3 linked regions of the Ovis aries genome follow. The protein of the gene in region 2 purifies or fractionates together with the protein of the main gene of each other region. This does not show direct contact. Links are inferred from orthologs where the notes say so. Each region holds a gene or a part of one and is shown on either strand. Other genes may lie near its edges.

Region 1 (4,154 bases), on a different chromosome or scaffold from region 2:
TAAGCTTGGTCCTAACTTTCCTTTCAGCTGCACAGCATGTGGGCCTTCAGCTTCTTGACCGGATCAAACCCTCATTCCAGCATTGAAGGCATGGACTCTTAACCGCTGCACCACCAGGGAGGTTCCCATCCTAACTTTCTTGGGATTCCGGAGTACTTCCTGCTATGTTCATCAGGAGGAGTGGGCAGAAAGGAGAGACCTGGTGCCTGCCCAGGACGCGGCCCGAGGCAGAGGAGAGGGGGGGTCCAGGACGGGGCAGGCCGGGGGCCGGGGCAGGGGGATCTGGGCCCTGCTCCAGGAGGTTGGGGCATCTTAAAGAAAGTGCTGGAAGTCTGCCACCTTACCCTTCACCTCGCCCCACTGGCCAGAGCCGGACTGGGATGCTGTCTCCATTCTCAGTTCAGTTCAGTTCAGTCGCTCAGTCGTGTCCGAGTCTTTGCGACCCCATGAACCGCAGCACGCCAGGCCTCCCTGTCCATCACCAACTCCCGGAGTCCACCCAAACCCATGTCCATCGAGTCGGTGATGCCATCCAACCACCTCACCCTCTGTCGTCCCCTTCTCCTCCTGCCCTCAATCTCTCCCAGCATCAGGGTCTTTTCCAGGGAGTAGTATAATTAAAACAACTTTGGGGGGGAAAAAGAATTAATTCCCATCACTCCAAAATCTTCTCTGATCTTAACAGACGTAAGAAGTTACACTTATTTCACTTTGTTGTAATCAGCATGCAGTTCTAAATGGCCAAGAACCTAGACCCTGAGGCTTAATTCTAGGGAACAAAGTGGGGAAAGTGGAGGCAGGGCAGGGCAGTTTCTACCAGATCTCCCTGGAAACAGTCAGCTGCTGACCCAGCGGGACTGAGGCTTCCACCCCGAGCCCGGGGTCCCTAAGGACCAGGAACCGCCCCCCGGCAGGACAGGGGGCCCACCAGCTGGCGGAGGGCCTCGGCTCTCCCGGGGTGGCTGGAGCGCGCCCGTGCCCCACGGGGACGCTGGCCAACAGCCCCTTCCAGAGGCGGCTGCAGCTCTGGGAGGATTGAAACCCCGGCCAGTTGGATCTGGTTCGTCTGCCTCTATCGTTCTGACCCGCAAATCCTGCTAATACCGGGACTGCTTGCCAAGTGATGAGGGGCTGGAAAGACGAGGGGCGTCCGGCTGCTGTAAGGGCGCCAAGAGCCACGTGGGTGCAGATAGAATGGAAGGAATGTGGGCCGCGGCCAGCGGGCGCCCGGCAACCAGAGACCTGGGCGCGGCCGCGGGCTTGCTCGCCGGTCAGGTCAGGTGAGCGAGACTTCCGGCTCCTGATGCCCGGAGGAAGGGGCCTGGAGCCTGCGGCGAGCCGCCCGCCCCCCGGAAACGGAAACGACCCCAGGAGCAGCGGGACTCCGGCGGGCGGACCACGCAGCCGTCGGGCTTCCCGGCTTCGTGAGCGCCTTCACTCTGGATAAAAAGGTGCAGTTCAGACAGACGAGAGCCCGCCTTACTTTCAGCCCTCGCGGGTGGCTGTCCTGAGCTGACCCCCTCATCTGTTGAGCGGTGTGAGGTTTCCTGGGGTCATCCTGGTGACGGCTGTGGGTCTGAGAGCCGGGCGGTGTCTAAGTGAGGGCGGCTGGCGGGCTCCCAGGCCTGCCTTCTTTCTGGAAAACGCAGGCCCGCGTGGATGGCTAACGCCGCTGATGCTCACTGTGAGACGTCGGCAGGCATGCAGACGCGCCCCTGGTGGGGTCCCTTTGCTGGGCCTTTGGGGCCCAGCTCTCAGAGCCCTGGGGGCTCCTGCAACCCCAGCCTGAGAAGCTTCACCTCTAAGCACCTCTGAGCGGCTGGTGGTCTGCCTGCATCCTCTCCTTCCCACCCCGGAGCACAGTAAGGCCTCTCCTTCCCGGAGGGTGACCGCTGGCCGAGCTGGCTGCTGAGGCAATGTCCCGAGTCCATCAGAGGGTGAACGGGACACAGGACAGGAGCGGGCCGGGGACCCGGGCACTGAGGCACGTCTGTGTGGCCCTCCTCTGCCTGCACAGCACAGGGAACTGCTGGGGGGCAGGGTCACAGAAAGGCAGCCCGCCCCTCAGCGCCAGTATTCCCCAGAGGGCCTCAGTCCCCTGAGCCTGACGCCCCCACCCCCATGGCTGGCAGGACTGTGAGCCTGGAGCCTGCACCCAGGGAGCTCGGAGCCTGCCCTCTGGCTACAGAATTGCCCCTGGCCCCCTAGGTTGCTCTTTGGGCCCCGGGCTGGCCGTCAGCATCCTTCCGGCTGGAGCGAGCCCTCTGGGCCAAGGTTTTCCTGGACCACCATCTCCAGCCTCTGGGTGCAGGAAGGTGTCAGTACGCATTCACCCATCTAGTCCATAAACATTTGCGGAGACCTACTCTGTGCTTCAGACCCTGGAAGGCACTGGGGGTTGGGCATGGGGCTGTGGGTGCTGGCTGGAGGGGTAGCCAGTACTGGGAGGGTTAGGGCTACGGTGATTCTGATGGACGTCCCCAGGGAGGAGAGGCCTGGGAGGGTCTACTTCCAAAGGGCCTGATTTCCAGGGCACGGGGCACAGAAGACACAGGTGCTGGGTGCAGCTGCAGAGAGTGGTCCCCTCGAAGCCGGGGGACTCGGGAACGAGAGGGAGCAGGCCTTCTGTCCAGGCTGGGGAACTGACCCGAGGTGACCCCTGCGTGGGCACCGGCCCCGGGACGTCCCTGCTGCCCCACGTCCACTCCACTCCACGCCAGGCCTCCCTCGGACAGGCTGGGAGTCTTCCTCCTCCTCGACGTCAGAACAAAGTGAGACGCTGTGGATGCAGCTGGGGACTCTGTTGGGGAGGAAACTCTTTCCTTGCTCTTCTAGACTCTGGCCAGTCTAACAGTTAAACTGACATAAGACAGAGTAACAGGAAGAAAGCAACTTCCATCCCTGCGGGGGCCCCATAAAAGCTGAACTGACTCTAGGTACATGCACGCTCATGTCTGACTCTTTGCAACCCATGGACTGTGGCCCTCCAGGCTCCTCTGTCCTGGGGAGTCTCCAGGCAAGAATGCTGTGGTGAGCTGCCACACCCTCCTCCCGGGGACCTTCCCGACCCAGGGATCGAACCTCTGACTCTCATTCTTCTTACTCTTCACCCACAGCATTGACAGGTGGGTTCTTCACCACCAGCGCCGCCTGGGAAGGCCAGGGTGACTCTGGCCCCCTTCAGTTGCACGTTAGATCACGTTCTTGCACGAACGTCTCTTTTCTTACGAGTGATGACGTTCGACACGAGGAAGCTTTCCTTATGAGATCATACGTGCTAAGACAGCTGGAGGCAAAATGTCAGGATGTCTGTAACCCGCGTTCAGATGGCTCAGCAAAAACTGGAAAAGGAAGAAAGACTGAGCTGAGGGGCAGCAGCAGTTGGCGAATGGAGGCGAAGACACCTGTTCATTCGACTGCTTTTTCAATTTTCCCGGAGTTCTGAGAAACTAAGAACTCAGAGTAGGGGGGCAGGGTCTGTGTTGAAGGGACAGTCTGTTAGAGCTGGGGGGTCAGGGGGCTGCCCTGGCTCCATCTTGGGCGGGGGGGGGGGGGGTTCCATTTGCTGGTGGCTATGTGCTGGGGAAGCCCTGTCCTGTGACCATAGTTTCCATTTCAACCCCAGACAGCCCTTTCCAGCTTCATCTGGGCTTCAGAACAGTAGGGTGTGTGAGGGAGGCTCAGGATGGGGGGACGCGGGTCCACCTACGGCTGATTCAACAGAAACCAACCAATCCTGCAAAGCAATTATCCTTCAATTAAAACTAAATAATTTTTTTAAGTCAAATATGTTAAGAGATAAAGTAAAAAAGTAGCGGGGGGAAGTGAGGGGAATATGCCAGCTTACTGGGAACCCGGACACGGTCATCCTGCAGGGATGCTGCTGGAGAGGAGAGGCCGTCCACTAGAGAAGCTTTCAAGGGGTGAGCGAGGACCCATGTGGCTTCAGCTACAGAACCGCGCTCCTTCTCTCTGCTTGTCCTTCTCGGAGTGTAGGAAGTGCCGTGACAGGCGGTGAATCTCCGGGACCGGCAGGTTCCCGCTTCCTCCTCTTCTCAGCTGGGTGCGCTGTGCCCGGGCAGTGGGTCTGAGCTCTAAGAGAGGGCGCCAAGCTGCTCTCACTCCTTTGCAGAGCAAGTGGCGGTCCGCTGGAG
Region 2 (4,055 bases):
GACGGGGGGCTAGGAGCTGGTGGCAGGAAGCCGGCAGGCTGGAGCCAGAAGGGGGCTTACTCTCGTCCAGGTTGATATAGTCCTGCCGCTCCTCCTGGTCCCCCGTGCGATGGTTTCGGGAGCGCTGGAGGATGTGAGCCCGGTCCCGGATGTGATGCCCAATGGACATCTGCTCCAGCCCGCTGTCGGAGTCGCGCACGGTCCGCCGGGTCTCCCGGATCTGGGGGAGGCGGAGCGCCACATGCTCAGTGGATCCTTCCAAACCTAACTACGCCAGGCTGGAAACACTTTGAAAGGAGCCAGCCAGGCCACCCGACCGTGCCTCCCTGGGATAGAAGGAGCCCTCCAACTCACCCCGCCTGGGGCCGAGCGCATCTCCGACGTCTCTTGGTAGACCTTGGGGGCCCCGTCGCCGGTGTTGGAGTAGGAGATGACAGTGGAGGAGGAGAAGGTCTGGCAATTGCCTCCGGCTGTCATGTGCTCCTGGGGAGGGAAGGGAACTGCACGGCTGAGTGGGCAGGGCCTGGATTCCGGAGCAGGGATCCCTCCCTGCAGCCCCGGAGCAAACGTGAGGACTCACCATCACCCCCTCAATCCCTCTGAGTCCAACAATAAGCCAGGCAGATCTGGAGAGGCCGAGCCTTAACTGCCCATTTCATGAGATGCCTGCCGCTGCTTCCTACTCAGGACCCCTGCGCTCTCCGGGTCTGGCCCTCTTATCTAGCCTGCAGGCCTCTGTGAGCACAGCCTTCCCCACTCCCACCTCCAGGGACTCGCCAGGGGAGGCGGGACACAAGACCCTCACCATGTTGCCGATCATGTCGTTCATCATCCCAAACATGTCCATGAAGCCGCCTGACTGGAGCAGAAAGGAAACCGAGTCAGGTGGTCGAATTCAGGCTCCCACAGGCCACCTGGCTACATGGTCCCTCTCTCCCCTTCCTTCACATCTGGCAGTGGCTCTTCCTCATTCCTCTTGAGCAGGAGCAGAACAAGTGTGCCTCTCTGCGCTTCTCTTCCCACCCACCCCGCCCTCCTCCTCAGGCTCTGTGGCTACTAGGATCCCATCTTCTTCTTGCCTGCCTGACCTATTTCCTCCTACTTTTAGGAAGCAAGTCTGTGTTACTGGAGTCTAACCTATAAAGTGGTTGTTTCTGAAGCTGTAGAAAAATCTCCTATACATCTCTAGTTGGCCCTCCAACAGCACCTCCCTCCTCAAAAGAAGACATCTTGCCAGGCAATTATATCTCCCTAATGGGGATGACTCCTAGAAGCACAGGAGTCAGTAAGTTAGCGTCATCAGCTCACAGGACTCAGCACACAGCAGGCCCGGAGATCTGTGAGCACATGACGACTCTAGGGTTACCCATTAGTCTATATTTCAGAGAGGCAAATTTGGAACTAATATCTAAGGGTTACAGAGCAAGTTTGAAATGGAAGGATGCAGGGAGATGAAGACTTACCATTCCCAGCATTCCAAAAGGGGAGACAGCCCCAGCCTACAGGAACATGTCAGGAATAGAAATTAGAGGCCACATGCGACCTCACCCTCCCAAACCAAGCCCATGGCCTCCCTTGCTTTTTTCCATCCTTCTCTCAAAGGAGCATCGCAAAGCCTGTCTTCCACACCCTTTTCCCCACTCCTAGAAGGCACGCCACTTGCTAAGTCAGCCAGCATGCAAGAAAAATGAAGCACTGCATTAACCACCCTCCCACCACAGTCTCAGGTCTGTGGCAGCACCATTACCTGCATCCTGCGGCTGGCAGGCCGGGTCCCTGGCAGATTGCCATCTGTGATGCTGAGGAAGGGGCTATATCCAAACCCCCCTGACAACATCCGGTTCATGTGCTGACGGTGAATGGCAAAGGGGTCCCTGTGCAGGGAGAGTACAGAGCAGGTGGCAGAAGGGGCAGCGGTGAGCACCTCCCTCCTCCCCCAAGCCCCAAAGAAAAGAGCCATAGGGAACCAGTGGCACAGACATCCCCTCCAAGTCTAAGCTGGAGCTTAGAGTGGCCACCCAGGTGTGATCCGAGCCTGCAACAGGAGCCCAGGTGTCTGTCTCAACTACTCAGAGACTAAGTGGACCGATGTGTGCTCTGGAGCAAGAGGGGGAGGGGATACTCACATCAGGAACATGGGGTCCTCGGGCTCCACGTCCCTCATGAAGCGGAACATCCTGATTTCAGCTCCAGGGAGCTCCACGCTGTGAAGATGTGGAGGCTCAAAGGTTGGAAGGGGCCAGGCTTTTTGCACACCCCTCAGGGCAGGGACTCTCAGAGCGTGGTCCCTTCCAAACACTGTAACTGGCCCCCAAACTCCAGGGAGACCCTTCTCCAGGTGTTCAACATCAGCCTCTAGGGAGAGCAGAGCTCTTCAACCCTCTCTCCGAAGGAGGACCGTGGAAAATTTTCCCGAGCCTGTTTTCTGCCTCCCCCACTCAGAGCCATCCTCTTCCCAAAGCCACCGCCAAAGGCACACTCCCCCAACCCCCGACGCCACCTTTCCGGATGCGAATCTCAAGTGCCACCCCCCACCCCCGCCCCATAAATGACCCCAACCACTCCGCTCCCTCCTCACATCCCGGCCGCCGCCAGACCTCCCCCGGGTGGGCCTCACCGTCCCCGCCGCGCCTGGAGCCTTGCCCCCTCACCCCGAACCCTGCTTTCCTGCCGGGTGAGCAGGAGAGGCAGGCTTGACCCGCTCCCCTCCCCGCATCCCAGGCTCCCGGGGACCCTGCAGCCCGGCGGGCCGCTCCCGCCCGGAACCGGCTGCCCGCTCCGCTCGAGCCTCACCGGTCCCCGGTCCGGGCTCAGCGGCCCATCCGGCCGGTCTCGCCTCTCGTGCGCGGCAGGATCGGGGCTAGCGGCCCGGGACGCGGGACTGGTCCGGGCGTGAGCTCCTCGGCCTCCCGCACCGCCTCCTCTCACAGCTGCCACCTCCGTGCACCCTCCGCCCGTCGGCCCACGGAGCCCGAACCCCAGCCAGGCCCGGACGGAAGTGACGTCACGATGGGACAGCCCACCCCAGGCCGGGCCTGCGGAGCTCCGCCCACCGGCGGGCGTGGGGCGCACGCGGGGCGGCTCTCAGGCCTAGCTGCTGGGGACCTCGGGGTCCTCTGGGACTTGGGGAGTGGAGGCCTCGTTAGTAACCTGGACTTGGGTTCTGTGGCCCCGAGGAGGCTCCCTGTCAGGGTGCTGGGGAAGGAGCAGCGGAGTCCATCGCCGGGAGGGGAAGAGGGGGGAAGAGGACGGGGGCAGATTCCCCCGGACAGGGCAGGCTCTCAGTGGGTGACGAGGTGGGGCGGATCCCTGGGGAGAACTTTCAGCAGATTTCTACCGGGGAAGCGTTCATCCCGAGATGGAGGAAGGACGGCAATTCTGCGGGGGAGGCGCTGGGGCCAGTCCCCTCGGGAGGAGGCGCGTTCCAGGCCGGGGCGGCGTCCCCTCGGAGTGACGTAGCGGGAGGAGGTGACAGTGCTGCCCAGGTCTTCCTCTGGCTTTGAGAACTCGGGCTGGGGCACGGAGGATCCAGGCTGGGGGTCTGGTCGCCAGATGGCGCCCTTCGGCCGGGCTGGAACTGCAGCCCCTGGGGAACTGGAGTTGGCGGGGCTCTAGAGACCCGCCCACCCGCCCCCCCCCCGCGACCACCCCGCGACCACCCCGCCGCCCCCAGTTACCCTGCTGTGAGGAGTCAGACTAGGGAGAGAGTTCTGAAATCTTTTCATTGAATGCCAACCTCCCCTTTCCTTTCTCTGAGTATCCTCAGGAGCTCCCAGTCCGCACTGTTTTTCTTCTCTAGTCAGGCAGGTTGGTAGGTGGGTCGAGGGAGAAGAGCGCTCCCCGTTCACCAAGCTCACCGAGGGGCAGAGTTGCAAACAGGCCCAGGAGACCTGACTCGAAGGCCAAAGGCTGACACTTTGACATACTGAATGTGTTGCATAAAATCCTGCCCAACTGGAGAGAAGGGCCCTCCCCCTGGGTGTCCAGGGATTTGGGCTGTCTGGGCTGGACTTTAGACCGGACTCAACCAGACGCCAGCTCGCCTGGTTCTTTAC
Region 3 (3,507 bases), on a different chromosome or scaffold from region 2:
AAATAAAAGTATTTCATATGTAGTATTAGGAAAAATGCTCAAATGCTGCAAAGTTTTCAGTGAAACAGCTACTTTTTAATTATTGAAGACATATAAATTGATATAACTCTCATACAAAAAAAACTTTGGAAACATATCAAGCCATGAAAATGCATACACCCTTTGACTCAGTAAAACCAGTTGCTAAGAATTTATATGAAGAAAATAGGAAACAAAAGAAGGGAAAAGCTTGGTGTACATCAATCTGTTGCATTGATAAGCAACAAACTGGAAACCACGTAAACGTTCAGTGAGTGGAATGGGAGGCAAATTGTCTAACTACACAGGATAGAGGTTTTCGAGAATTAAAAGCAAACTTTAAAACAGCATTTTTCTTTTTAAAGGCAAATGACAACATCATATTTCTCTAATGATTAAAACTTTAAAGAAATGATGCACTTTGAAACGGATGGAGGGGATGAAGTAGTTGTTCAGAGTGGCAACATCAGGGGCGGGGTCTGTGTAAGTCTTTAAGTTCAAAATAATTTGATATAGATGACTAAAAACCTGCCGAATGAAGGCGATGTGGTGTACCGAAGGTTCCTTCCCATCCCTCCAAGCTCACTGCCGCGTTCTCAGCAGAGGCGCGGTCAGTCACTGAGTAGCTGCGTTATGAACAGGCTGTCTGGTCAGCCCAAAGCCCTGTGTGCCCATGTGTCTGTAGACAAAGTCCAGGAGAGGACCATAATGCTTCTGCCCCTAGCCAAGCACTTGTTTCCCCACATGCTGTTATCCACAGAATAGTAAAATATAGATATACAGGAGGTGCTAGATCCTAGTACAAGACAAGAATTCAATCTAAAAACTTCTAGAAAGGTAATCAAAATATTTCTAATTTTAATTGTTATTCACAAAACTAGCAACACTGAGATATTTTGTTCTTCAGAAATAACTATCAGTATCAAATGAGCTATATGTGACATACACAACCATTATCATTTAAGATAGTTCTTTATCGTTTTTACATGATTGTTTATAGGACTGTTAGGTCTGAACACTAGTTGAATCTGGCTTCAGCGTTCTGCTGCAGCGTTTTGGAAGCAGCCCCTTTAGAATGCTCCAGCAGCTTGATAGCCTTGTCAGAGTTTTCAATGTTCCTAAGCAGAGTCTCTAGTCGTCTCTTAATTTTCTTCTGATCCTCGAGAGCACAGCCGATCACAATGGACTGGAACTTTTGGTCCACCGGCCCCGCAGGCACCTCGGAGGAACACGCGCTGTACAGTGACATCAGGTGACTCCGGGCGTTTCCCAGGTCGTCCAGAAACTTGCTGACCACCTCATCGATGATCCGCGTGGCGTGCTTGAGGGACTCCTGCTGCTGGGGACTCCTAATTGTTTCTACTGAAACCTCCACAGTCAGGGTTCGTCCCATCAGACGGTTCGCAGTCAGATTTAATTCTTCTCGTTCTCCTAATCATAAAAAGTTTGAAATATCAATCAATATGAGACACACCTACATCCATGTCAAGAACACTAAGGCATTTGTGTGTGGTTAAATCTAGCCTGCGAGCACCTATACATTTCTTAAAGGTATATACTGTTAGCAATAAGATTAACTTAGGATGCCAGGGAAGACTGAGGGCAAGAGGAGAGAGAGGAGGGCGGCAGAGGATGAGACGGCTGGATGATATCACTGACTCGGTAGACAGGAGTCTGAGCACACTCAGGGAGATGGTGAAGGGCAGGGAGGCCTGGCGTGCTGCAGTCCATCGGGTCACAAGGAGTCAGACAGGACTGAGCGACGGAACAGCGTCAGTGGTGAAGAGGATCAGCCTGGACGTCGGGTGACTGCCGCGGTCGTCATGTCTGCAGAGGCTGGGGCGGGTGTGCTGGTCAGAGCAGGAAATGATGCCCTGCGTCTACACGACTACGTGCACTAGAGGAGGAAATGGTAACTTCTGCCTGTCTGAGCTTTTAGCTGAGACCCTGTAATAAGACAGACTAACAAGCAAAAACAAAACCAGAGCCTCATTATCGTGTAGACCCCATGTATACATGGGAGACCCCCAGGGAAACTGAGTGACTCCTGGAGATGGCCCAGGCCTCCATCCTCAGGTGGAGATGGGGAGGGAGGCCAGTTTCGAGGGCCTCAGAAAGAGGACCACAGAGGTGAGGTTTTCACGGAGACCCCTCAGAAGCGGAGGTTTCCTTTAGGAAGTGTAAATGTACATTTCCCTTACAAAACTGTGACCTCAGCTATTTCCATAGCTGCTCCTGTGCCTGCGGTTTCTCAAAAATGACCAGCCCCGATAATCCTTAGGGCAGAGGCATGTTTTGGGCAGCACATCCCGTGTCTGTGAGCACACCGTGCCCAGCTCTGGTGGAGGAAACAGAGCCAAGACCCTAGGAGAAAGGCTGGCCTGAAACGAGGCGCTGACCTCATCCTGTCCGACCAACTCGGCCTGTGGTCTGAGTCTCAGCCAGCACGAGGAGGGTGCTGGGTCATCCTCTCACTGTGCAGCTCTGCGAAACGCTTTCCAAGTTCACTGCTGGTTGGCCGGGGCGGGGAGCGGGCTACGCTGACCCACTAAGGCTGTGTGACGGTTTGGGTCCGGGCCTGGGCTCACCAGCCAGGGCTGCAGGGGTGCCTGACCCCCGTCACGCCTCACCGCGCCCCCCCCCCGCCCCTGTCCTCTGCGCCCCCCCCCCGCTCCTGTCCTCTGCGCCCCCCCTCCTGTCCTCTGCGCCCCCCCGCCCCCCTCCTGTCCTCTGCGCCCCCCCTCCTGTCCTCTGCGCCCCCCCGCTCCTGTCCTCTGCGCCCCCCCGCTCCTGTCCTCTGTGCCCCCCCCGCCCCCCTCCTGTCCTCTGCGCCCCCCCGCCCCCCTCCTGTCCTCTGCGCCCCCCCCCCGCTCCTGTCCTCTGCGCCCCCCCTCCTGTCCTCTGCGCCCCCCCCCGCCCCCCTCCTGTCCTCTGCGCCCCCCCGCCCCCCCGCCCCCCTCCTGTCCTCTGCGCCCCCCCGCTCCTGTCCTCTGCGCGCGCCCCCCCCCCCCCCCCGCGCCCCCGGCGGGCTCACCGTCACTGATCTGCCGCATGTCCTGGCTGTTCTGGATGCTGTGGATCATCTCCAGGAGCACCTCCTTCTCCTGCTCCACAGCCGTGGCCGCCTCCCGCAGAGCCTCCACCCTGCGGGCGGGGACACGGTCAGCGCACAGAAGCCTAGTGCGCCGCTTCTGCCTTTCCCTCCAGCTTAGCTGGCAGGATGATCAGGGGCACGCCCCGAACGCTTCAGTCCTTTTTCTTTCTTATTCTGTACTTTTTTCCTTCTTCATCCACTTGCCCCGTGGCTCCTAGTTGCCTCCCTGCTCACAGGGCAAGGATTCTGTTTAGTGCTTTTCTATTTGTAGATAAACACCTGTACTTGTTTACTGTCCCTGCTTCACTCAGCAGCATATTTCACTGAGACCCGCCGGGTTCCCTTGTCACCCAGCCCCCAGCTCCCCTCACCACCCGCCCGTGACTCCTGTCCCC

Evidence for each region.
Region 1: the proteins of MLF2 (region 2) and DNAJB6 purify together in Homo sapiens (affinity purification with mass spectrometry; 3 studies listed by BioGRID and IntAct, with this or other methods). This does not show direct contact. The link is inferred for Ovis aries from reciprocal best matches to the Homo sapiens genes MLF2 and DNAJB6.
Region 3: the proteins of MLF2 (region 2) and BAG2 purify together in Homo sapiens (affinity purification with mass spectrometry; 4 studies listed by BioGRID and IntAct, with this or other methods). This does not show direct contact. The link is inferred for Ovis aries from reciprocal best matches to the Homo sapiens genes MLF2 and BAG2.

What each region holds. Positions count from the first base shown.
Region 1 is NC_056057.1:120,185,092-120,189,245, forward strand, and holds the start of DNAJB6 (dnaJ homolog subfamily B member 6), read left to right. Parts: upstream 1-1,351; 5' UTR 1,352-1,451; exon of another isoform or gene 1,452-4,154. UniProt on the Homo sapiens protein: Has a stimulatory effect on the ATPase activity of HSP70 in a dose-dependent and time-dependent manner and hence acts as a co-chaperone of HSP70. Plays an indispensable role in the organization of KRT8/KRT18 filaments.
Region 2 is NC_056056.1:209,529,829-209,533,883, reverse strand, and holds the start of MLF2 (myeloid leukemia factor 2), read right to left. Parts: upstream 2,722-4,055; intron 2,675-2,721; coding exon of another isoform or gene 2,549-2,674; intron 2,205-2,548; 5' UTR 2,177-2,204; coding exon 2,127-2,176; intron 1,875-2,126; coding exon 1,748-1,874; intron 1,500-1,747; coding exon 1,464-1,499; intron 860-1,463; coding exon 806-859; intron 484-805; coding exon 355-483; intron 221-354; coding exon 61-220; intron 1-60. Other genes in the region: PTMS (parathymosin), read left to right, coding at 2,549-2,674, 2,722-3,192.
Region 3 is NC_056073.1:3,189,809-3,193,315, forward strand, and holds the end of BAG2 (BAG family molecular chaperone regulator 2), read right to left. Parts: intron 3,163-3,507; coding exon 3,053-3,162; intron 1,450-3,052; coding exon 1,037-1,449; 3' UTR 54-1,036; downstream 1-53. UniProt on the Homo sapiens protein: Co-chaperone for HSP70 and HSC70 chaperone proteins. Acts as a nucleotide-exchange factor (NEF) promoting the release of ADP from the HSP70 and HSC70 proteins thereby triggering client/substrate protein release.